4 linked regions of the Arabidopsis thaliana genome follow. The protein of the gene in region 1 interacts with the protein of each later gene in a pairwise test. Each region holds a gene or a part of one and is shown in the gene's direction. Other genes may lie near its edges. The genes, in order: AT4G25920, AT5G08650, GSTU2 and AT2G29210.

Region 1 (3,616 bases):
TATTTGGGCTGGGCTTTATAAGAGGCGAAGCCCATGTCGAACAATCAATTTTTTTTTAATTTTATATTTCTTTTGGGAGTCTGTTCTGTCGTATTGATTAATAAAGTAAAAAATCTTAGCCACAAAATTAAATCATCTCCAAGACGTATCAATATCATCATCAATCCACCAATGAAAAGTTCTCTCTTTTTTTTTCCCACTCTTACTCTGTTCTCGCTACAGAATCTCCTGGGAAAAAAAAAAAAGAAACTTGATCCACCCGAATTCCCCAAATCTTCACAATTTCTGGAAACTCTCTCGATCGTGAAGCAGAAAAGTGAGGTTCCAAATGGGTTCTGTTTCGGGTCAAACCCGAATTACAACGATGAACCTCTCGCTCTCAACAGCAGAGAAGAACCCTAATTTCCGCTCGTCGCTTCTCAATTCTAAGGTAATTGTTATCACTTCGTCGAGCTTCACCAAAAAAATGACTCCTTTTGCTTGATTTCTTCTTCTCCTCTTTCGCTTGTGTTTAGAACGCAATTTCAGATACTTTAGGGGTCTCTTCCAAATGCAGTACATTCCTCAGGGGTCAATTTCAAAGAATACATTTTTCTTGGCTACAACACACTCGACCTTTGAGAAAACGAACAGGTACTTGATTTGCAAACCAGACCAATCTCTTTAGAACTTTAGTTGTGATTTAGATTCTTGTTATGTTTGGTTTAGTATTTGGTCACGTGAGCTGCGTCATGCCGTTAACGGAAGAGAATGTGGAGAGAGTGTTAGACGAAGTACGACCATCTCTAATGGCCGACGGAGGAAACGTGGCGTTGCACGAAATCGACGGACTTGTGGTGGTTTTAAAGCTACAAGGAGCTTGTGGTTCGTGTCCTAGCTCATCAATGACGTTGAAGATGGGAATCGAGAGTCGTCTTCGAGACAAGATTCCAGAGATCATGTCCGTTGAGCAGTTTCTTGAATCCGAGACAGGAGGTTTAGAGCTGAACGATGAGAACATTGAGAAGGTTTGGTTTTTTAAAGGTTTAGTTATTTTTGGTTTATTAGCCCCTTGGTTTTGAAATTGATCTGAATGGTCCTTTTTTGGTTTGTTGTCAATTTAGGTTCTCTCTGAGTTAAGGCCGTACCTATCCGGTACTGGAGGTGGGGGGCTTGAGTTAGTTGAGATTGATGGTTACGTGGTCAAGGTTCGACTCACTGGACCAGCTGCTGGAGTCATGACTGTTCGTGTCGCGTTGACTCAAAAACTGAGGGAAACAATTCCTTCTATAGGTGCAGTCCAGCTTCTAGAGTGACATTAACCTTTTTATTTTGTAACTTATATACAAGGCCTATTTTTGATTCAATATATTTTATTTCCAATTATATAATTAGTACAACTAATACAATAACCATTTCTGTTGAAGAAAAAGGAAAAGAAAAAAAAAGTATCCTATGTATGAAGGACATTTTCTCTAGTGATCCTTGTTTTTAGGTAACAGTTATAAAATATTCATGACTTGACTACACAAAGATAATCGAACTTAAAGAGTTATTTCCTTAAACCAATTATTCTCTAATTAAATATGCATTTATAGCGAGTTCTTGGTGAGCAAGGATACTAGAATCTCTATAATAAGTCGGACATAAGAAGATATGAGGAAACACAGACATAACATAGTTAAGAGTTTCAACAATGTCAAAGCTTATAATCAACCGAATATTCAAACCCTCTGTCTGCAAAAATTTCCTCGTACGTAAGCTTCTCTTGCTTTTTCTTTTTAACTTTAATTTTGTTCTTGTTGTCTCTGAATACTTGAACATAACTATGGCAGAGACACGCAAACGTTCGTCTGTTCTCATCTGCAACTCACACGAGTACTAAAGTGAATCAGCCCTTCTCGTCTAAACCAGCCTTCCCGTTTCTGTTGATTGACTACATCCTAAACAACCCAAACTCTTCCTCCGATGGTCGCGTAACAACAAACGTTTACGGTAATGAAAAGGAAGTCTTGATTAAGGACAAGGATCTTAAGGAGGAGGTCTGTGATGCGATGACTGTCGGGTTTTCTCGTGATGGGTTGCGAGTCGAGCTTTGTGGCAACCACGGCGATGTATGTTCTCCCACCATCTTTTACAAGCCTACTGACCCCGAAATAGAAGACTTGACCGTTGATCTACCTCCTCTACCGACGGGTTCACAAATCCAAAGCCTGGTCATGTCCTCTTTACCTAAACGAGACAAAAATTGGGTAGTTGTTGTCAAGTTATTGGGATCTCAGTTGAGTATGTGCAGGCCTTTTGGCAGCCGTAAATGGATCAACATCCAAACCAAGCCTCAGAATATAAACCCTTCATCGAGCATCATGTTTTCCAAGAAAGAGAAAAAGTTCTACGTTCCAACTCCCGGAGGCAACATCTTGTGCTATTTGGATCCTCACTCAGAGGACGACGACCTAATTGATTTCGTGGAATTGGAGTTTGACGATCTTCCAAAATCGGTGTTTCAAGAGTTGGCCGACGTGAGTACATGTTCTAGGACAGACCACCTTGTGGAGTCACCCACCGGCCAACTTTTCCTAGTCAAGTGGTATACTATCTAATTAAAGCTATATATAGCTTTTGTCTTCATAACATATATACCAAAATCTCTAATCCTTTGCTTGAGTATCATATTGGCGCGCTTTATCATGTCTTTGCAGGTATGGAGAGGATTTAGAGGACATTGACAACACCACACTGTATAATGTAACAAAAAAGTTCATGGTGTTTAAAGAGGGAGAGAAACCGAGTTGTGTCTACACTAAGAAGATGATCTATACAGAAGACATTGGAGATCTTTGCATTTTTGTTGGACATAGTGAGGCTTTCTGCGTCCCGGCTAGCTCGTCCCCTGGCCTCAAGCCTAACTGCATCTATTTTGTGGGCTATAACTTTGGTGTTTATGATCTCACCACCAAAACTTGCACTATGTTCCTCACAAAAGATGATAATCCATTAAGGAAATTGGAATTCCCTTACTGGCCTCCTCCGGCTTCCTTTCCAGTACTAGCTCCTAATTAATTATCTCTCTTGCACGTGTTTATGTTTCGCTAATGTTATCGCTGTCTTTGCTTTCCCATGATTTCATTTAAATCCAATGTTCTCTTTTAATCTATGTTCAATGAAATTTATATTAGTGCCTTAAAAGAAGGCGAATCTATCCTACCAAAAAAAAAAGAAGGCGAATCTAAACGAATTCGGTTAATTCATCATATTTCTCAATTAATATACGTAAGACACACTTTGGCACAAAACTTATATAATTATTTATTTCCTGAAACAAGTTATCCTCTAAATATGTATATTTAATGTCCTAAGGTGTAGTACCCTCGGTATTCACTAGACAGAGACGGGGAAGACGAAAGAGTCGCACGTCAAATCAAAATCACAACACATATTTTGAGTGTTGTTACATTATTTTGTGGTGGATCACTATGTGGAGTCACCCTCCGGTGAACAATTCCTCGTCAAGTGGTATATATACTATAGACATTGCTTTTGAATAAACAATTATACAAACTATTAGGTTAATTACTCAACATTTTAATTTGATTTAATGGCTCCTCACCAAACACAAGAAGAGAGGTGAAACATG
Region 2 (7,780 bases), on another chromosome or scaffold:
AAGCTAGGAAAAAACAAAAGAAGCCGTCTAGACTAAAATTTTCACCTCTTATCAGCTGCAACAAGTCTGAGTAGTTCATCGAAATCATTCGAGACTAGGTTTTGAACACCCTCAGAATAAAGGATAGTTCCTTTTAAATGCTCGATGTTCCTCTTAGAAAGGGATTCAATGAGATTTGAGCTTTTGACAATTGTGTTTGCTACTTCAAAAGCTAAGATCCCAAGTTCATTGCCTTTAGTTGCAACTCCAGAAGTAAATCCACCGCTACTAAGATCTGTCATGCTACTTCCAAGGGTATCCAAAACATCTTTTGCTCTACCTAACCCCGCTTTGCCTAAAAGCTTACTTGCCTCTGTAACCTGCCACAGTATAGCAAATTCGGATTGGTCTCACGACATTTCAGGACTTCTAAACTTAAAAGACACTTGCCGTTACTAAGAGACAATGCTTTAACTCTTAATCTTAGTTGCTAAAAAAGGAGCTTCATTTGGTCCATACTAACCTTTGAAACAGCGGTTTGAGTTGATTTTGCAGACCGAATTTTCTGTGATGGAGCCATAGTATACGTCGGAATTCCATCATAGAAATTATCTTCAGCTTCCCTTTCGCGGAAAGAGAAAACATCTTTTAATTGATTTTGTTCCTTGACGTCTTTAACCATAAGCTGCCTCATACCAGGAACAATCAAACTGGTTTGCCCATTTGGTTGTGAGTGGCCAAAATCAGGTTCTCGACCATCATCAGCCACACTAGAACCAGAATACTCGCTGCCAAAATTGATTCCAAGGCTCTTGGAGCAAAAACTCCCCATAACTCTTTTCCAAAGACCTTTAAGCTAAGTTATCGAAAAGATCATGCCACTGTGGGGAAGAGTAATAACCTAGAACAAAGGAAAAAGTCAGATCAAGAGACTCAAGGAGACCAAATCTTCCAAACTAAATTAGTAACACAGAGATAGGATCGTGTCCGAAATAGTTTAAGACATTGTAATCGCCTTGGGGGAAATTAACAGATTCACATAAAGCCAAAGCCGTTCACGAAGTAAAAGCCTTTAAGTCAAACACTGTGCAAGTCTTCTTTCTCCAAAAAACCTAAGCAAGATCGTATTTTGAGGAGAGGAATGCGAAGAAGAAGACTTACCCAGTAGAGAAAAAGACCAGAAAAGACTTGGGCCAAGCCAATTTCGGAGGTATAGAGCTTGGGATTCACGACACACAACAGTGAAAAGACAAAAGAGACAAAGGAACCTCGAACACGAGAGAATTGATGTTAAAAAGGAGAAAGTCAAGGAGAGTAGTATGAACTAGGAACGAAGGAAGAAATCAGAAAAACAAAAATTAAAAGAGAGATTGGACCACACCAAATTGGCATCAGCTAAAGCCAAATTGAAACAACCAGCTTGATAAAGAAACAAACGAAGAAAAGTCTAAACCTTTTTTCTTTTAATCTCCTCACACTCCATGTTAATAAAAAGAGTCACAGGCGGTGATGGATTGGTCAAATCGTCCCTTATTACCACGCCATTGACTCATTTTGTGCTCTGTCTTTTTACATTCCGTGCAAGTAAAAAACTCATCTTTACTTTCAATCCCTCACTCCTCTTACTTCTAAACCGAAATTGCGCTAAAAGGTTAGGACTTTTCATAGGGATTAAATTAGTCTTAAAAGGCATGTGAAGATCTTATATAAGAAATGATTAAACACTAATCAACTCATCATTGAATAAAAAAGAGTCTTATATTCTCAAAATGCATGATTTCTGGTTCATCGAATCAAATCATAGCACAACAATATTGAACAAAAAGCTTATTTCTATGTTTTTTGACATTTGATGTTCTACTTCGAATATTTTTGGGTTTAGAATTATCTGATTTAAAATCAATTTATTTGATCTTGTTCAGTTTCATTAAATTTGTGGTCTAATTTCGGTTTAATTCACACAAAACAAATTCGTTATTTTAAGAAAACAGATTTGGATCGAATCGGGTCGGGTGGGTTAGAATCCGATGGACAGGCCCAATTGGATACAGTGGCCCAGTTACATAGTCTGTGGCTCAGGATACTTTGAATTTCTCTCAAAACAGTAGAGAGAGGTGTAGAGAGCTTAGACAGTGCCATGGCCATGGCTTCTGCTATGGACTTATCTTCTCCTCCAACGTTTTTCTTATCCGGAACTTCTACATCTTCCCCATCTCTCCGTCGTCTCTCCTCCATTTCCGTCTCTGGATTCCGCCGTCACTCTAATCGGAAGTTACAGATACTTTGCCAAGCCACAGCTGGAACTGAGCCTCAGAGCGGTCTCTCTGTCTCTGGCTCCAAATTAGCCGCCCGTTCTGGTCAAGACCGTCTTTTGAAGGTCGGGTTCTGTTTTGTTCTCTCTCTTCATCCGTGTGCCGAAACTTGAGAAGAATTTGGATTTTTTTTGAAACTGAATTTGTTATGAAATTCGCAGGTTCCAATTTCGAACATCAGGAATTTTAGTATTATAGCTCATATTGATCATGGGAAATCTACGTTAGCGGATAAGTTGCTTCAGGTGACTGGTACTGTTCAGAACAGAGATATGAAGGAGCAGTTTCTTGATAACATGGACTTAGAGAGAGAACGAGGCATCACTATCAAGCTTCAGGTTTTTCTTTCAATCGCTTTCTCTGCACAATCAAAAATCAGTTTCGATAAGATTGCTCAACGGTCTGATTTGTAACTTTGCGGTGTATGTTTGTGTAGGCAGCTCGAATGCGTTATGTTTATGAAGATACACCGTTTTGCCTCAACTTGATAGATACTCCAGGTCATGTTGATTTCTCTTACGAGGTACTTACAATATTCTAATCTACTTATTGTCTACGGATACATTTGAAGCTTAGCCTTATAGTTATTTTTCATATGTGAGAAGTTACTTGGTTTGAGTGTTATATATCACCTAAAAGCGTAATTTTTTTTACAGTTAGGAATATACACAAACTATTAAGTTGCAGTTTTGATGAAGAATGCACTGTTTATTTGTACATAGGTTTCCCGATCTCTTGCTGCTTGCGAGGGTGCTCTTCTTGTTGTGGATGCATCCCAGGTGATTTTTCTTTCTCTTGACATACAATTTTCTGACACGCTGTGGAAACCTGGAATCTGTATTGTTTATGCCGTTTTTTCGCTTGGTAATTTCGTTCTTTTCTGATGGTTACATACTTACATTACTGAAAAACTTAAACTTCCTCTATCATGTGCTTTAGGGTGTGGAAGCACAAACATTGGCTAATGTGTATTTGGCCTTGGAAAACAACCTCGAAATTATTCCCGTAAGTACGGAATTATGCTTCATCTTATTAGCTATATGTGCTAGTTATCATCATTCCTTTTAACAAATCACATTTCAACTATATGTGGTAGTTATCATCATTCTTTCCTTCGTCTCATCTCCATGGAAGATTATTTAAAAATGTCAATGTCGTTTTATTTAAAAGAAGTCGGAGTCTGCAATAAGTTAACTTTCAAACAAGGCAAATATGTTAAAAAAAATAGGTAGTATCACTCTGGCAGTACATAGAAGATGCGTAGTAAAGAAAAGAATAGCTAGTCTAGGATAAAATGATTATATCATTTAACGTTTCATTATTGCTTCAACCTGATTCATGACTATACAGGAAATAATAATGTAAGGTGGTTTATTCTTCTTTCAAATATTTGGTCTGCATACCAGAGTTTAAAGCAAATGAACTCTACTTCTTCCTGCAGGTTTTAAATAAGATTGACCTTCCAGGCGCTGAGCCAGAGAAAGTTCTCAGGGAGATTGAGGAGGTTGGTGATTATGTTCATTGTGTTACCCATTTTATGATGTTCGTATTCAATAGCAATCATACAATGCAACCAGTAATAATTTGAACAGTATTCCTTTTTGGGTGTCTGCAAAAACTCTTCAGTCTTTTATTTTTCTGTTGTCAATATGTTATCTTGACATTTTACAAGGTTCTAGCTTCTAGTATTAGATATTATGTTGATTATTGCGGTACATTCTTTTATGCTTTAAACATTTTCTTTGTGATATTATGATCCAGTCTCATGTTCCTCGAATGGGGTAATTGTCTCATTGCTGCAATTTCAGAGACATCAGCCTTTATGTGAACACTGATTGATAATTCATATTGTTTGTAGGTTATTGGGTTAGATTGTAGCAAAGCGATATTCTGTTCGGCAAAGGTTAGATTTTAAAATTGTTTTGCTATTCTGCTACCCAAAAATTAAGACGTGTGGCTTTCTATCCATTCAATTACAATTTTTGGGGAATAATATATACACGCAGGAGGGAATTGGTATTACCGAGATTTTGGATGCAATTGTTCAAAGGATACCTGCACCTCTCGATACTGCAGGAAAGCCCTTAAGAGCTTTAATTTTTGACAGGTTTGCACTTGTTGTTTTTATTCATAACGATTTTTGCCTTTTCTAGAGAAAACAGTATGAAATTGAGTCTTGGAGTCGAAGTTGTATTCGTATATAATGATTGGACTGATCATTGGCATGTCAAGTCAGTACCAGTTAATCACTGGTGAACTAAAAATGAGTGTGAAATACTCGTGTTTGTTTTGCTTGATTAGTCTACAAGTGTGCAGTTTTTATATGTGAACTACTTTATATTTTTCGTCCAAAATTCATTTTGCTGCAGTTATTATGATCCATATCGTGGTGTCATTGTATACTTTCGAGTTATCGATGGGAAAGTGAAGAAAGGCGACAGAATTTTTTTCATGGCAAGCGGAAAGGTTTATCTCTTTTACTCTACTGTACTGTCTTTCTATTTAATCGAGATAGCTTTCCATTTGCCAATAATGAATTGAATGTAATTTGTGCATGAGATAGGTTTTCGCGGTCTATTTGAATAAAGCGATGTGAAGTGTTATTCTATAATTCTTTCAGGAAAAATTTGAGAATGTTTAAGCTTTTAAGAACGCTTACTTGTGTTTCACTAGTATCCTTCATGTTCTCAGTTTTGCATCAATTGCAGGATTATTTTGCGGATGAAGTCGGAGTTCTATCTCCAAATCAAATTCAAGTGGATGAATTATATGCGGGTGAGGTAGTGTACTCTTTTGAACATAATATTTTGTTTGTTTTGTTTACTTTCCTGTGCATCCATGTCCCATTTTCTTGTTGAATTTTTTTCTTTCAGCAGAAACCTTGGTATTATGAAATGAAAATGTCAGTATTCTTTTGCAGTTTCCGCCGTTCTATTCCAACACATGTTAATAGGAAAACTAAAAGCGTTTGTAAATGGAAGGATTTTCTTAGCATTTCCTTGTAGCAGCTTTGGCAGAAGATAGAGTTGTGGTTAATAACAATTTGAATGCAATGAAACAAATATGTTTTCACTTTTCTTGTTTGGCTATATTTGAGAAGAAATGGTTAGTTGCATCTTCCCTTGCTCAAGTTCTAATAGCTAGAAAGATGTTTTTAGCACTGATTGATGCTGCTGGTGTATATCAGATATGCCTGAATATCATGCCACATTTCTTGCACATATTTTAAAGGTTACTGTCCTTAAATACAGGTAGGATATATTGCGGCTTCTGTAAGATCTGTTGCAGATGCCAGGGTAGGAGATACAATAACACATTATAGCAGAAAGGCAGAAAGCTCTTTACCTGGTTACGAGGAAGCTACCCCTATGGTGTTCTGTGGTCTTTTTCCAGTTGACGCTGACCAGTACTGAGTTTTTGTTTTTCATTGTTGACTTTTTGCTTTTTCATTTTGTATTTTTTTTTTTCACACCTGGTCTATGATGGCAGGTTTCCCGATCTTCGCGATGCATTGGAAAAACTGCAACTCAATGATGCTGCATTGAAGGTATAGTAGAATTAAATGACAGAAACAACATTTTTCTTTCATCTGTACCCAGAATAATTTGCACGGACGAAACAACTATGGTCTTCGTATGCTTACTTAGCCAATGTATGTTTATGCCCAGTTGGCTTCGAATTGGAAAGTAAAATTGTGTTTTGCAAAGAACTGGTCTTCAGTCCTCTATTGTATGTATCTTTGTTAAAAATATTCACATTTGGTCTAAGGAGCGTATACGTTAGCATTAACATATCTATAGGTTTGTCCTCAACTTGGTTTTTATCCTGCAGTTTGAGCCTGAAACTTCGAGTGCCATGGGATTTGGCTTTAGATGCGGGTTTTTGGGTCTTCTCCACATGGAAATTGTGCAGGTCAGATATGTTTCGCTCTTCTTGTTCTAAAGTGTTTTTGGTGCGTCTCTGACTGAAAATTTCCTATGCAACAGAAGATAGAGAAAAGAAATTCATAGATACTGAGTTATCTGTTAGTATTTTACTTATTTACAGTTTCCTCCCCGATAGATACCCGCCATAAATTATACTCAACAAAGTGAATTATATCATTCTTTGTTCTTACGCTCCAGTTCACTCTTCTTCACAGGAAAGGCTAGAGAGGGAGTACAACTTAAATCTTATTACCACAGCTCCAAGTGTTGTTTATAGGGTGAACTCTGTAAATGGTGATACTGTAATTTCCTCTTGATCCCAAACTTTTAAATATTCTTCTTTGTTCCCTGAAAATCGCATCCTTTTGTCTTTCTTTCTTGATCTAGAGCCTTATTACCTGTGAAATCAATTTTACTGCAGACTTTGTGCTCAAATCCATCACGCCTTCCAGATCCTGGGCAAAGGAAATCGGTCGAGGAGCCATACGTTAAGGTTGCCTTTTCTACTGGAGATATTGCTGATAAGTTCACACACCACATTTCGTAGAATTACATTTCCTTACTGCAAAACCATTTTATACAGATTGAACTGCTCACACCAAAAGACTATATTGGTGCGCTTATGGAGCTCGCTCAAGAGAGGAGAGGGGAGTTCAAAGAAATGAAATATATAGCTGAGAACAGAGCTTCAATCCTCTATGAGTTACCTCTTGCAGAGGTGAGATCTCTGCTTGTGCAGAGTTAAGATAACCCCAATGAAAGTTTAGCCATGTCTCTCTTGATTATGTAAACTGATCTTCTTGTTAATCGCTCCCTGCCATTTTGCAGATGGTGGGTGATTTCTTTGACCAATTGAAGTCGAGAACCAAGGGATATGCTAGCATGGAATACTCCGTTATTGGGTTAGATCTTTCAACTTTTAATACACAGATCTTTCTCTTACTTTGTGATGCTTGCCTTCTATTTTTGTTGATTAACAAAGAAATGCGTCAGCTTTTTTGTGAAGATAAGAATCTATATTCTTTTCATAGTAATCCCAAAGTGATAAACAAGTATCTAAAATATATATATTTGCTTAGCAGCATCAGATCAATTTCAATCAGGTTAATTATCGTGTTGCTCTCTATCGTTAAATTTGGTAGCCCTTCTTTATACAAGTTAACTACTCAGCTTCGTCAGTTTCCATTTAAGCTTAATACATAATATGTTTCTTTTGCTCTTTTTGATGTCTTTCTTACCATCTTAAGGTATTCAACTTTTTTTTTTTGTCTTGTAATATGTGAGCAGGTACAGGGAAAGTGATCTGATAAAACTCGATATTCTGATTAATGCTGAAATGGTGGAACCTTTGTCAACCATCGTACACAGGGATAAGGTTATTTTGCTTAAGCTCTTTAATATGAACTTTTATGAATACAGCATACATACGCACTCTTACACCTGAATACAAAAATTTGGTTCAGCAATCTCATTGATACAATTTCACTTGCCCAAAAAGTTTGGATAAGTAGATTGATGGAAACACGAGGCGCTGCCAACTATCTTTTACACATCTCTGATTGT
Region 3 (3,560 bases), on another chromosome or scaffold:
TTCATGTTTTACTTGAGTGTGTGAGTACTCTATCTAAATTATAATAATCTCCGATTGAGCTATGAATTATGATGTATCGGATACATTTGATCCTAATGAAGTATGGAATAAATAATAATTATTAACCTTTGTCTAAATTCAAAAGAAGTTTAACCGACGAGATGATTTCGCTTAGAGTTCGATTTCGGTTTAACTAAACCAAATCAACCGATACCGTGAATCAAGACGGAATCAAACCCAAAAACTGAAAAGGTTCACATTATATAAATGTTATATTTTGATTTAGATTATTACATCATTTCTTTCAAAATGATTAACATTTTGTTTGATAACTGAATATTTCTTCTGTTTTACAATGTCATTCATTTCAAATGTTTGGCAGACAATGAATTGGCCAAAAAATAGACTCTTCAAAACAAAAAAAGTTGTGTGTTTTACAAATACAGTCGATACATTAATCTCTCAGTTTTAAACTTTTCAACATATGAATCTTAAAATATAAATTGTAGAACGTAATCATTTGGAGATTTGTTATTTCTTGGTCGGCTAATTGACTGGAGATTAGAAACACTAAGTGTTGGTCAAATATCTTAAAACACTAAGACGAATGACGTTGGCAATGACGTGCATACCTTAAAATATAAATCAGTCCTTTTCTGGTGTGATCTTCAAGATATCCTTGGATACAAAGACAAAGAGAAAGCAAAATGGTCCTTTTATTTATTTGTTTATTTCACCACCCATAACTTCATTTGTGTATAGAATATAGTAAACTCAAGTAATCAAGCAAGTAAACGAAACATAAAAAAGAAAAGTAGTGCAAGAAACAGAGGAGTTAGATACCAAAAAGTGAGAGATATCGAATGGCGGAGAAAGAAGAGAGTGTGAAGCTTCTAGGGTTTTGGGCAAGCCCTTTTAGTCGTCGAGTCGAGATGGCTCTCAAACTCAAAGGCGTGCCATACGAATACTTGGAAGAAGATTTGCCCAACAAGACCCCTTTGCTTCTGGAGCTAAACCCGCTTCACAAGAAAGTTCCGGTTCTTGTCCACAATGACAAAATATTACTCGAGTCACATCTGATTCTCGAATACATCGATCAGACGTGGAAGAACAGTCCAATTCTTCCTCAAGATCCTTACGAGAAGGCCATGGCTCGATTTTGGGCCAAGTTCATCGATGACCAGGTATACTAATATTGATTTGCAGATTAATTAGTTGATTCTATGCAGAACAATATTATATTATTCGCTTGTTTATATATTGTTCTTTACTTGCAGATCCTAACACTAGGGTTTAGGTCCCTTGTAAAAGCAGAGAAAGGAAGAGAGGTTGCTATTGAAGAGACTCGGGAACTGCTTATGTTTCTTGAGAAAGAAGTCACTGGAAAAGATTTCTTCGGTGGCAAGACAATCGGATTCTTGGACATGATCGCAGGAAGTATGATCCCATTTTGTCTAGCTAGACTTTGGAAAGGTATTGGAATTGATATGATTCCAGAGGAGAAGTTTCCGGAATTAAATAGATGGATCAAGAATTTGGAAGAAGTTGAGGCAGTGAGGGGATGTATTCCTCCAAGAGAGAAACAAATTGAGCGCATGACCAAAATTGCAGAGACAATTAAGTCTGCCTAAATTAAAGATACTTCTTGCCTACGAAAATATTTGATTTATATGCTTGCATCGTTTTTTATTTATATTTTTATTTTTTAAAGTTTTTCGAAAAATAGAATGACCTAATATTTAAGTAAAAAGATCAAAAACCTATTTGAAAGTTACAGCAATCAAATAACGTGGTGTGTCTGGAGATTGTAAAAGCCAAGACTAGAAGGAAATAAGAATAAAATAACCAAAGTGACCTCAGCAGTGACTTGGTTACCTTACTGATGTCTTTTTTTTTTTTTTTATCTTCAAGATAAGCTTGAGAGTTGAGACTACAAAAAAAAGCACAATATTGTTTTTAAAGTGACAGAGAGAGTCAGAGAGAGAGATCTAATGGCGAAGAAAGAAGAGAGTGTGAAGCTTCTAGGGTTTTGGATAAGCCCTTTTAGTCGTAGAGTCGAGATGGCTCTCAAACTTAAAGGCGTACCATACGAGTACTTGGAAGAAGACTTACCCAAAAAGAGCACTTTACTTCTTGAACTAAATCCGGTTCACAAGAAGGTTCCGGTTCTTGTTCACAATGATAAATTATTATCCGAGTCACATGTGATCCTCGAATACATCGACCAAACTTGGAATAACAATCCAATTCTACCTCACGATCCCTACGAGAAGGCCATGGTTCGGTTCTGGGCCAAGTTCGTTGATGAGCAGGTACTCTAGTCTAACTAATTAAATTGATTTATAATATTGATTGCAAAATAAATGAGAAACACTTGAGAGTTATTAGAAGTTCATTACATTTCAAGCATTTATATCAGGATTATTTGTAGGATAAAGTAATTTTCTAAGTACTTTTTTTTATAGATTGGTATAATAACTTGCAGATCCTACCAGTTGGCTTCATGCCCCTAGTAAAAGCAGAGAAGGGAATAGATGTTGCTATTGAGGAGATTCGAGAAATGCTTATGTTTCTTGAGAAGGAAGTCACTGGAAAAGATTTCTTTGGTGGCAAGACGATCGGATTCTTGGACATGGTTGCGGGAAGTATGATCCCGTTTTGTCTTGCTCGGGCTTGGGAATGTTTGGGGATTGATATGACTCCAGAGGATACGTTTCCAGAATTAAACAGATGGATCAAGAACTTGAATGAAGTTGAGATCGTGAGGGAATGTATACCTCCAAAAGAGAAACATATTGAGCGTATGAAGAAAATTATAGAGAGAGCTAAGTCTACGTTCTAAATTAATGATAACTTCATAACTCTGTGTTCTAAAATAATGACTATGTGCAGCTTGTATCGTTTTGTTATTGAAAAATTTGAAACAAAGAATGAATGTAGCTGCATTGGTAGTGGAAATCAATTAATGGGTGCAAAGTGAAATGTTGAAAGCTACCTATTATAACTATAATAACAAATATTGATTTATGGTTTAGGGAAAATAAATTGCAAAGATGGTAAATCTAAGTTCGATAGGATGATGAGTTAATTTGTTTCATGATGTGTGGTATTGATTACATGATGTTTGATAAGAAGTTAAGAACATTAACGTATGGTTGGTTAGTATTGGTTTATTGTGTATTGTTGGTTAGTATTTCAGTTTAGTGATATTCTGGTTCTATTAGTCTATCCAATTTTGTATTAGCATTGGTAACTCAATTTCTTCAAGAAATGAAATAACAAATATTTAACATATCTCTCCAAAACTAATACATCGGAAGTGAAAGATGAAAGACATGTTCAAAGAATATTTATCAAAAAAAAAAAAAAGAGAGATGGTCAAAGTTAGACATAAATATTGACTTTTGAGGATTCTTAATATTTTGAACACATGCTGAAATGTTTAGGCGTGAGGATAAATGATGAACACATTTGAAAGTGACGGCAATGATGAACAACTACCTTCTAGATGTTCTTGGATGATACACATGAATGATGTACATACATTGAACTTGTAATTA
Region 4 (6,467 bases), on another chromosome or scaffold:
CAAAGTTTGTTTGTAATTGGAAAGAAAAAATAAATTAAATAACGAATCTTAAAAAGTCTTCCAAGTTGATTTTTTTCTTTACTGACATAAATTTTGCTTTATATATCATACAAATACGTCAAAGTCCATAATTTCGATGATGGTGATGACAAAAGAAAATATGTTATTATCTTTTGCATGACATGCCCTCATATATGAAACTGAAACACAGAGTTATGAGCTCATCTATATATACATTTTTGCTGCTACTTTGTGAAATAAATACTGGAGTTGGGATTTATTTACAACGGCTGCCACTGGCATTTAATAATTGTTTTTGATAATTAGAAAGAAAATCTTCTAATTAAATATTTGACATTTAACAATCTTCCCAAAATCTCTCAACCTTAACTACACGATTAATTACTAAAATAAAACTTCTAAAATATTTAATATCATTTAATTACTACAAAATTATCATTTTTGATATTGCTTTTCTGCATGATTATAATCATCAAACCGTAGAGATATTTGATAGCATTTAATTACTACAAAATTACAAAATATTTAGACAATAATTCATAAACATATCATAAATAAAATCAACATTAATAAAATAAATGAGTTTTTTTTAGAGGACGGGTTGGCGGGACGAGTTTGGCAGGACGTTATTTAATAACAATTGTAAACTATACAATAAAAATATTTTATAGATAGATAAAATTTACAAACTTTTATATATATTAATTAAAAAAATAAATTGTTTCCGCGGTGTACTGCGGGTTAAAATCTAGTCTAATACAATATTAGAGATAACTATAGTCATTGCTCTCATTTTTCCATTTGCATACTTATATGTTCTCAATTCTCATACCTACCTTATATTGTGTGCCCATACACCTTCCATGCGCACTTGTTGTCCACACAAATTACGATCAAACAACTGTTATATAGTTTCCACCCACACTTTCACCTATGGTTTAAGAAACATAAGTTACTCTAATGTAGTAGGACGAGTTGACCAAACCTAACTCCTTCATTTTGTTGCACCAACCCATATTTTTACCGAGTAATGCACACCCCAAAACTTATAATCATAGTCATCTTCCTTTCACGTCCCATAAGGTTCACATTGATTACTCTAATCTATTTCACTTTCAAGATTACCACCACATGTAACTTTTCCATTCCTTTTCCACATTTATCTCTTAAACCTCAAACACTTTCAAGTTTCATCTTCTCTCTCTCTTATTAACTTCATCTACCAACCCTACTTAACCTAAAACCATTTTCAATTGCTTAATCAGTCCACACAATGCACATAAATTTCCGTGACCACACTGTTCGTTTTAGAAGAAAAAAACCACTTCCAAAATTGCATATGTACCAATAAGATAAAATGTTTTACTCATTCAAATAGACCTACGAGATTAATTAAGACTAGGTTTGCTTTGGGCTAAAACTGGCCCATAAGCTATGGCAATTGAAACCAATCAGATTACAAAAAAGGCTTGTCAAGAAGATGAGACCGAACATGTTCCAATAAATGGCAATAACGTAATTCTCAAAACCTCTGAGGGTAACAATGGAAAAACAAAATGAAGTGAGTCCGATATAGCTAGGGCTCGTTAAAAACTCTTCAAAATCTCTGTGGAAGCCCCATTTTCACATCTAAATCTCACAAATCTCTCTCAAGCTTCGATCTTTCTTCTAGAGACGAGCTAGTGCTTCCACAAACCCTAAACTATGTCCGGCGGTTTCTTCCGGGTTAGTTTTCCGATCAATTTTCTCAATTGATCTCTCATCTTTTAGATCCAGATCGATGCAATTCAAAAGTTTTGTTGAAGTTCCCATGGTTTAATAACTTCTTTGTTTTGAGCTTTTAGGGTACTTCCGCCGAGCAGGATACTCGGTTTTCTAACAAGCAAGCTAAATTGATGAAAAGCCAGAAATTTGCTCCGGAGTTAGAGAATCTGGTGAGTTTTCTCTTTGTGTACTCGTCCATTTTAACGATTTGTGAATTCGTAGCTTGAATTTACTTAATTGAGATTCGATTACCAGATAATTCGATACATATGTTACTATGAAATTAAGTTTGGGGAGGGCTTAATGATGTCTTCTACTTGCCTTGGTGTTAGGTGGATATCACTAAAGTGAAGATGGATGTTATGAAACCTTGGATTGCGACTAGAGTCACTGAGCTTCTTGGTATTGAAGATGAAGTGCTGATTAACTTTATCTATGGTCTGCTTGACGGGAAGGTAAGCTCATTACTGAGATTTTATTTTTCTGAGCTTTTTATTCGACTGTTAATAAGTGACAGAGGGGTAGTATGATTTCGTAGCCCATGCCATTGATACAAGTGATTTTTTTTTGTTGGACTAATATGTAATTGAACGTTCACTATGTATGTAGGTAGTGAATGGTAAGGAGATTCAGATAACGCTAACTGGATTCATGGAGAAAAATACTGGCAAATTTATGAAAGAACTTTGGACACTTCTTCTAAGCGCACAGAATAATCCAAGTGGTGTTCCACAGCAGTTTTTAGATGCTAGAGCTGCTGAAACAAAGAAGAAACAGGTATTCTTGGGAACTCATTCTGAAGTTAGTTTGGTGAACGACTTGTCTCTGTCCTACTGTTTCATGATTATTATCCTTTATGTGGCAGGAAGAAGCAAATGAAATAATGAAGAAGAGGGAGGGAGATAAGAAGAACATTGAGCACGATATATTGAGGAAAATAGTAAGACGTTCTTATTCATGCTAGAGTTTCAGCTTTAGAGATGCTCTTCTGGTTTTAACATTCGCCTGTTCTTTCATGTTATTCAGATAGCTTCTGCAATTATTAGGGTTCATGTGCTTTACCTCAACTACTGTAGGACAGCGGTGTAGAACATAAGGAGACAAATGGCATGGATGCAAAACCTTCAAGAGATCGTCCAGAGGATGGGAGAAGGGCTGACGAGAAGAATGGTGTAAAAGAAAGGAGAAGGTAGAGTTCTCTTAATGCCTATGATTTCATAGCTACTCTCTACTCATCGCTGTATTCCCTTGTGTACTTTATTATTGATTGAGTTCATCCTTCTAGTCTACTCATAACTTTGTACGTTGATTTTCTCTATAAGAACTCGTGGGCATGAGTTGTTCAAGTATTTCTATAAATGACTGTTCTGGGTCTTCTAGTCTTTTAGCATTTTTAGGTATGCTACTGGTACTTTGCATGTGCATTTGGTTTGCTGGTGGTCCAGGAATTTGTTTGTGGCCAAGATTATTATGTAAGTGGGTTCTGACATTGCCTCCACTTGATGCAGGGATCTGATACCTCCACGTCGCGGAGATGCATCCCGCTCACCCCTTAGGTGACTCTTCAATAGTTTTGTTTTTTCTAATACAATTTGCTTATATGTGCAAGTATATATTGATTGGTTGCTTTACAGAGGGTCACGTTCTAGGTCAATCAGCAAAACAAATTCAGGCTCGAAAAGTTATTCTGGGTATGTAGCCTTCTGCAATTGTTTTTCTTAATCCAAAGAAATTGTAGCCTGTGATGTGTAGCTAGCTAGTTCTGTATCTATTATTTTCTGTAAATCCTAGTGCAGTTTTTGCTAATGCTGTCTACTTTTATAACAGCGAACGGAAATCCAGGAGCACATCTCAATCATCAGATGCCTCCATCTCACCTAGAAAGCGAAGATTGTCGAATTCAAGACGTAGATCCAGATCACGTTCCGTGCGTAGGTCTCTGTCTCCTCGGCGACGTAGGATACACTCTCCTTTCAGAAGCAGGTCGCGGTCACCTATTAGACGTCACAGGCGACCTACGCATGAGGGACGCCGTCAATCACCAGCCCCTTCAAGACGTCGCCGTTCTCCATCCCCACCTGCTAGACGGCGCAGGTCACCATCCCCACCTGCTAGACGGCGCAGGTCACCATCACCACCTGCTAGACGGCACAGGTCTCCAACACCACCTGCAAGGCAGCGCAGGTCACCATCGCCCCCTGCTAGGCGTCACCGTTCTCCACCGCCAGCTAGGCGGCGTAGGTCTCCTTCACCGCCAGCTAGGCGGCGTAGGTCTCCTTCACCGCCAGCTAGGCGGCGTAGGTCTCCATCTCCACTCTACAGGCGTAACAGGTCTCCATCTCCACTCTATAGGCGTAACAGGTCACGGTCACCGCTGGCTAAGCGGGGAAGGTCTGACTCACCAGGGAGGTCTCCGTCACCAGTGGCTAGGCTCAGGGATCCCACTGGGGCAAGATTGCCTTCACCATCCATTGAGCAAAGATTGCCTTCACCACCCGTTGCACAAAGGTTGCCTTCACCACCCCCTAGGCGTGCAGGATTACCTTCACCACCCCCTGCGCAAAGGTTGCCTTCACCACCCCCTAGGCGTGCAGGATTACCTTCACCAATGAGGATTGGAGGATCTCATGCAGCCAATCACCTGGAATCACCATCACCCAGCTCATTGTCCCCTCCTGGTAGGAAAAAAGTGTTACCATCTCCACCTGTTAGAAGACGCAGGTCACTGACACCTGACGAAGAGCGAGTCTCCCTGTCACAAGGTGGACGCCATACTTCCCCTTCACATATCAAGCAAGATGGATCTATGTCACCTGTTAGGGGTCGAGGTAAATCTTCTCCTTCATCTCGACATCAGAAAGCGCGCTCTCCTGTTCGGCGCAGATCACCAACACCTGTCAACCGGCGAAGTCGAAGATCTTCATCTGCTTCACGATCACCTGATAGACGCAGGAGACGGTCTCCATCTTCGAGCAGATCTCCTTCTAGGTCGCGATCACCTCCTGTTCTTCATAGATCTCCTTCTCCACGTGGAAGAAAACATCAGAGAGAGAGAAGATCTCCTGGGCGTCTATCTGAAGAACAAGATAGGTATGGTCTTCATGACTCCATTTACTATAATCTTCTTCTTATCTGTACTTGTTAACTCCTTGACCCTCTGTCTGCTTTCGCATTGTGACAGGGTTCAAAATTCCAAGCTGTTAAAGAGAACTTCAGTGCCTGATACTGACAAGAGGAAACAATTACCAGAGAAGTTGCTAGAAGTTGGGCGTGTAGAACATTATAAGGAGCAGGAGAGAAAGAGGTGCATTTTGTTTCTTTTCATTTTCCAAATGATTTTCGTTTGACTTCAAATATCAAGGTCTGATAAATGTTGGTCTATTCAACTTCTTAACAGTGATAAGTTGTCAGAGAAGCGATCTGTTCACAGACACCATGGTTCACAGATGTCCCCAGTAGAAAATTCAGAAGGAAGGAGTCGGCCTGTTTCTAGTAAAGTGAAAGACAGTGAGCAGGTTGAGAAAGAGGATAACAGCGACCTGGATGCAAACCTTTCCTGTGATTCTAAGGATACCATCAGACATCAAATTAAGGATAAAAATAGAAGAAAGAATAAAAGGTCTTCAAGGGAAGAAGTATCTTCAGATGATAATGGCAGTTCTGATTCCGACGTAGATGATAGGAAGGAGGCTAAAAGGAGGAGGAAGGAGGAGAAGAAAACGAGAAAGGAGGAGAAGAAACGTAGGCGAGAGGAGAGACATCGTAAAAGGGAAGAACGTCGTGGTGGAAAGGAGAAGCATAAGAAACAAGAGCTTTCTGATACTTCAGAAGGTGAAGTTGAGGCCCGTCCTAAGATTAAAAAAGGGGAGGAATCTGATCCAAAGAGGCTTGAAATTGAGTTGCGAAACAAAGCACTCGAGTCATTGAAAGCAAAGAAGGGCATTAGCCACTAAGTCCCTTGTCCAGCGTTATTTGAACATCATCTTTTATGATACTATCCCTTGCTAGATTTATGAACATCATCTTATGTTGTGTTTTTTCTTACATGTTCCAAACTTTCTTATGTGGTCTGTTTGTTGGTGGCAGCAAAATTGGACAAGTGACAATTATGATAGCAAAATTGGACAAGTGACAATTATGATAGCAAAATTGTTTCTTGCATTGGGTGGTCCCTTTATGTTAACATAAGCTTTAAAAAACCATTTAGGTTAATATAAGCTAACAAAAAAAACCCAAGAGATGTTTTCATGGAAAATATTCCTGTATATGATGAAGTCATGATATAAGTTTCGTAGCTATGTATCCTAAACTGACATAACAAAATATCATTTAGATTTTAAATAGATCAAAGATATATTTTGTAATGATCATTTTCCCAGAAGAGTAGGATCAGATTGTCCTAACAACAAGAAAATATTTCTCAAAACCAGAAATTCTTATTTTCAAATTTACAAATGGAGTAAAATACAATTATAGGCTTTATTCACATCATCATGCTTAATGCATCTTCGTCCAATCTTGAAATCACACAATTCAAAATACAGACACGTTTGTGAGATCACTTTTTAGACTCCATAGAAGAGGTAGTCATCATGAGGGAGAGCTTCAGTTCCTTCGAGATACCGAAACACATTTTTCATCATTGGCCTTGATTCTGGAGATCGGTTGGCGCAGAGAAGTCC

What was found.
Region 2: the proteins of AT4G25920 (region 1) and AT5G08650 interact in a two-hybrid assay, tested with the Arabidopsis thaliana proteins (one large-scale study listed by BioGRID).
Region 3: the proteins of AT4G25920 (region 1) and GSTU2 interact in a two-hybrid assay, tested with the Arabidopsis thaliana proteins (one large-scale study listed by BioGRID).
Region 4: the proteins of AT4G25920 (region 1) and AT2G29210 interact in a two-hybrid assay, tested with the Arabidopsis thaliana proteins (one large-scale study listed by BioGRID).

The regions. Positions count from the first base shown.
Region 1 is NC_003075.7:13,163,800-13,167,415, forward strand, and holds AT4G25920 (hypothetical protein (DUF295)), read left to right. Parts: upstream 1-1,675; coding exon 1,676-1,732; intron 1,733-1,814; coding exon 1,815-2,569; intron 2,570-2,681; coding exon 2,682-3,042; 3' UTR 3,043-3,073; downstream 3,074-3,616. Other genes in the region: NFU3 (NFU domain protein 3), read left to right, coding at 329-430, 516-633, 709-1,007, 1,104-1,295.
Region 2 is NC_003076.8:2,807,557-2,815,336, reverse strand, and holds the start of AT5G08650 (Small GTP-binding protein), read left to right. Parts: upstream 1-1,734; 5' UTR 1,735-2,116; coding exon 2,117-2,356; intron 2,357-2,452; coding exon 2,453-2,629; intron 2,630-2,727; coding exon 2,728-2,814; intron 2,815-3,013; coding exon 3,014-3,070; intron 3,071-3,230; coding exon 3,231-3,296; intron 3,297-3,732; coding exon 3,733-3,795; intron 3,796-4,149; coding exon 4,150-4,194; intron 4,195-4,297; coding exon 4,298-4,398; intron 4,399-4,660; coding exon 4,661-4,757; intron 4,758-4,999; coding exon 5,000-5,071; intron 5,072-5,542; coding exon 5,543-5,697; intron 5,698-5,780; coding exon 5,781-5,838; intron 5,839-6,122; coding exon 6,123-6,203; intron 6,204-6,432; coding exon 6,433-6,519; intron 6,520-6,638; coding exon 6,639-6,710; intron 6,711-6,800; coding exon 6,801-6,935; intron 6,936-7,045; coding exon 7,046-7,119; intron 7,120-7,504; coding exon 7,505-7,592; intron 7,593-7,780. Other genes in the region: AT5G08660 (D-lactate dehydrogenase (DUF668)), read right to left, coding at 46-359, 503-811. UniProt on the Arabidopsis thaliana protein: Promotes chloroplast protein synthesis. May act as a fidelity factor of the translation reaction, by catalyzing a one-codon backward translocation of tRNAs on improperly translocated ribosomes.
Region 3 is NC_003071.7:12,629,664-12,633,223, reverse strand, and holds GSTU2 (glutathione S-transferase tau 2), read left to right. Parts: upstream 1-1,902; 5' UTR 1,903-1,991; coding exon 1,992-2,312; coding exon of another isoform or gene 2,313-2,317; intron 2,318-2,485; coding exon 2,486-2,842; 3' UTR 2,843-3,026; downstream 3,027-3,560. Other genes in the region: GSTU1 (glutathione S-transferase TAU 1), read left to right, coding at 864-1,184, 1,278-1,631; AT2G29485 (uncharacterized protein), read right to left, coding at 2,250-2,317, 2,493-2,634. UniProt on the Arabidopsis thaliana protein: May be involved in the conjugation of reduced glutathione to a wide number of exogenous and endogenous hydrophobic electrophiles and have a detoxification role against certain herbicides.
Region 4 is NC_003071.7:12,556,431-12,562,897, forward strand, and holds AT2G29210 (splicing factor PWI domain-containing protein), read left to right. Parts: upstream 1-1,548; 5' UTR 1,549-1,725; coding exon 1,726-1,746; intron 1,747-1,865; coding exon 1,866-1,955; intron 1,956-2,117; coding exon 2,118-2,240; intron 2,241-2,394; coding exon 2,395-2,562; intron 2,563-2,650; coding exon 2,651-2,725; intron 2,726-2,861; coding exon 2,862-2,974; intron 2,975-3,293; coding exon 3,294-3,341; intron 3,342-3,419; coding exon 3,420-3,476; intron 3,477-3,612; coding exon 3,613-4,875; intron 4,876-4,966; coding exon 4,967-5,089; intron 5,090-5,182; coding exon 5,183-5,738; 3' UTR 5,739-5,937; downstream 5,938-6,467. Other genes in the region: AT2G29220 (Concanavalin A-like lectin protein kinase family protein), read right to left, coding at 6,351-6,467.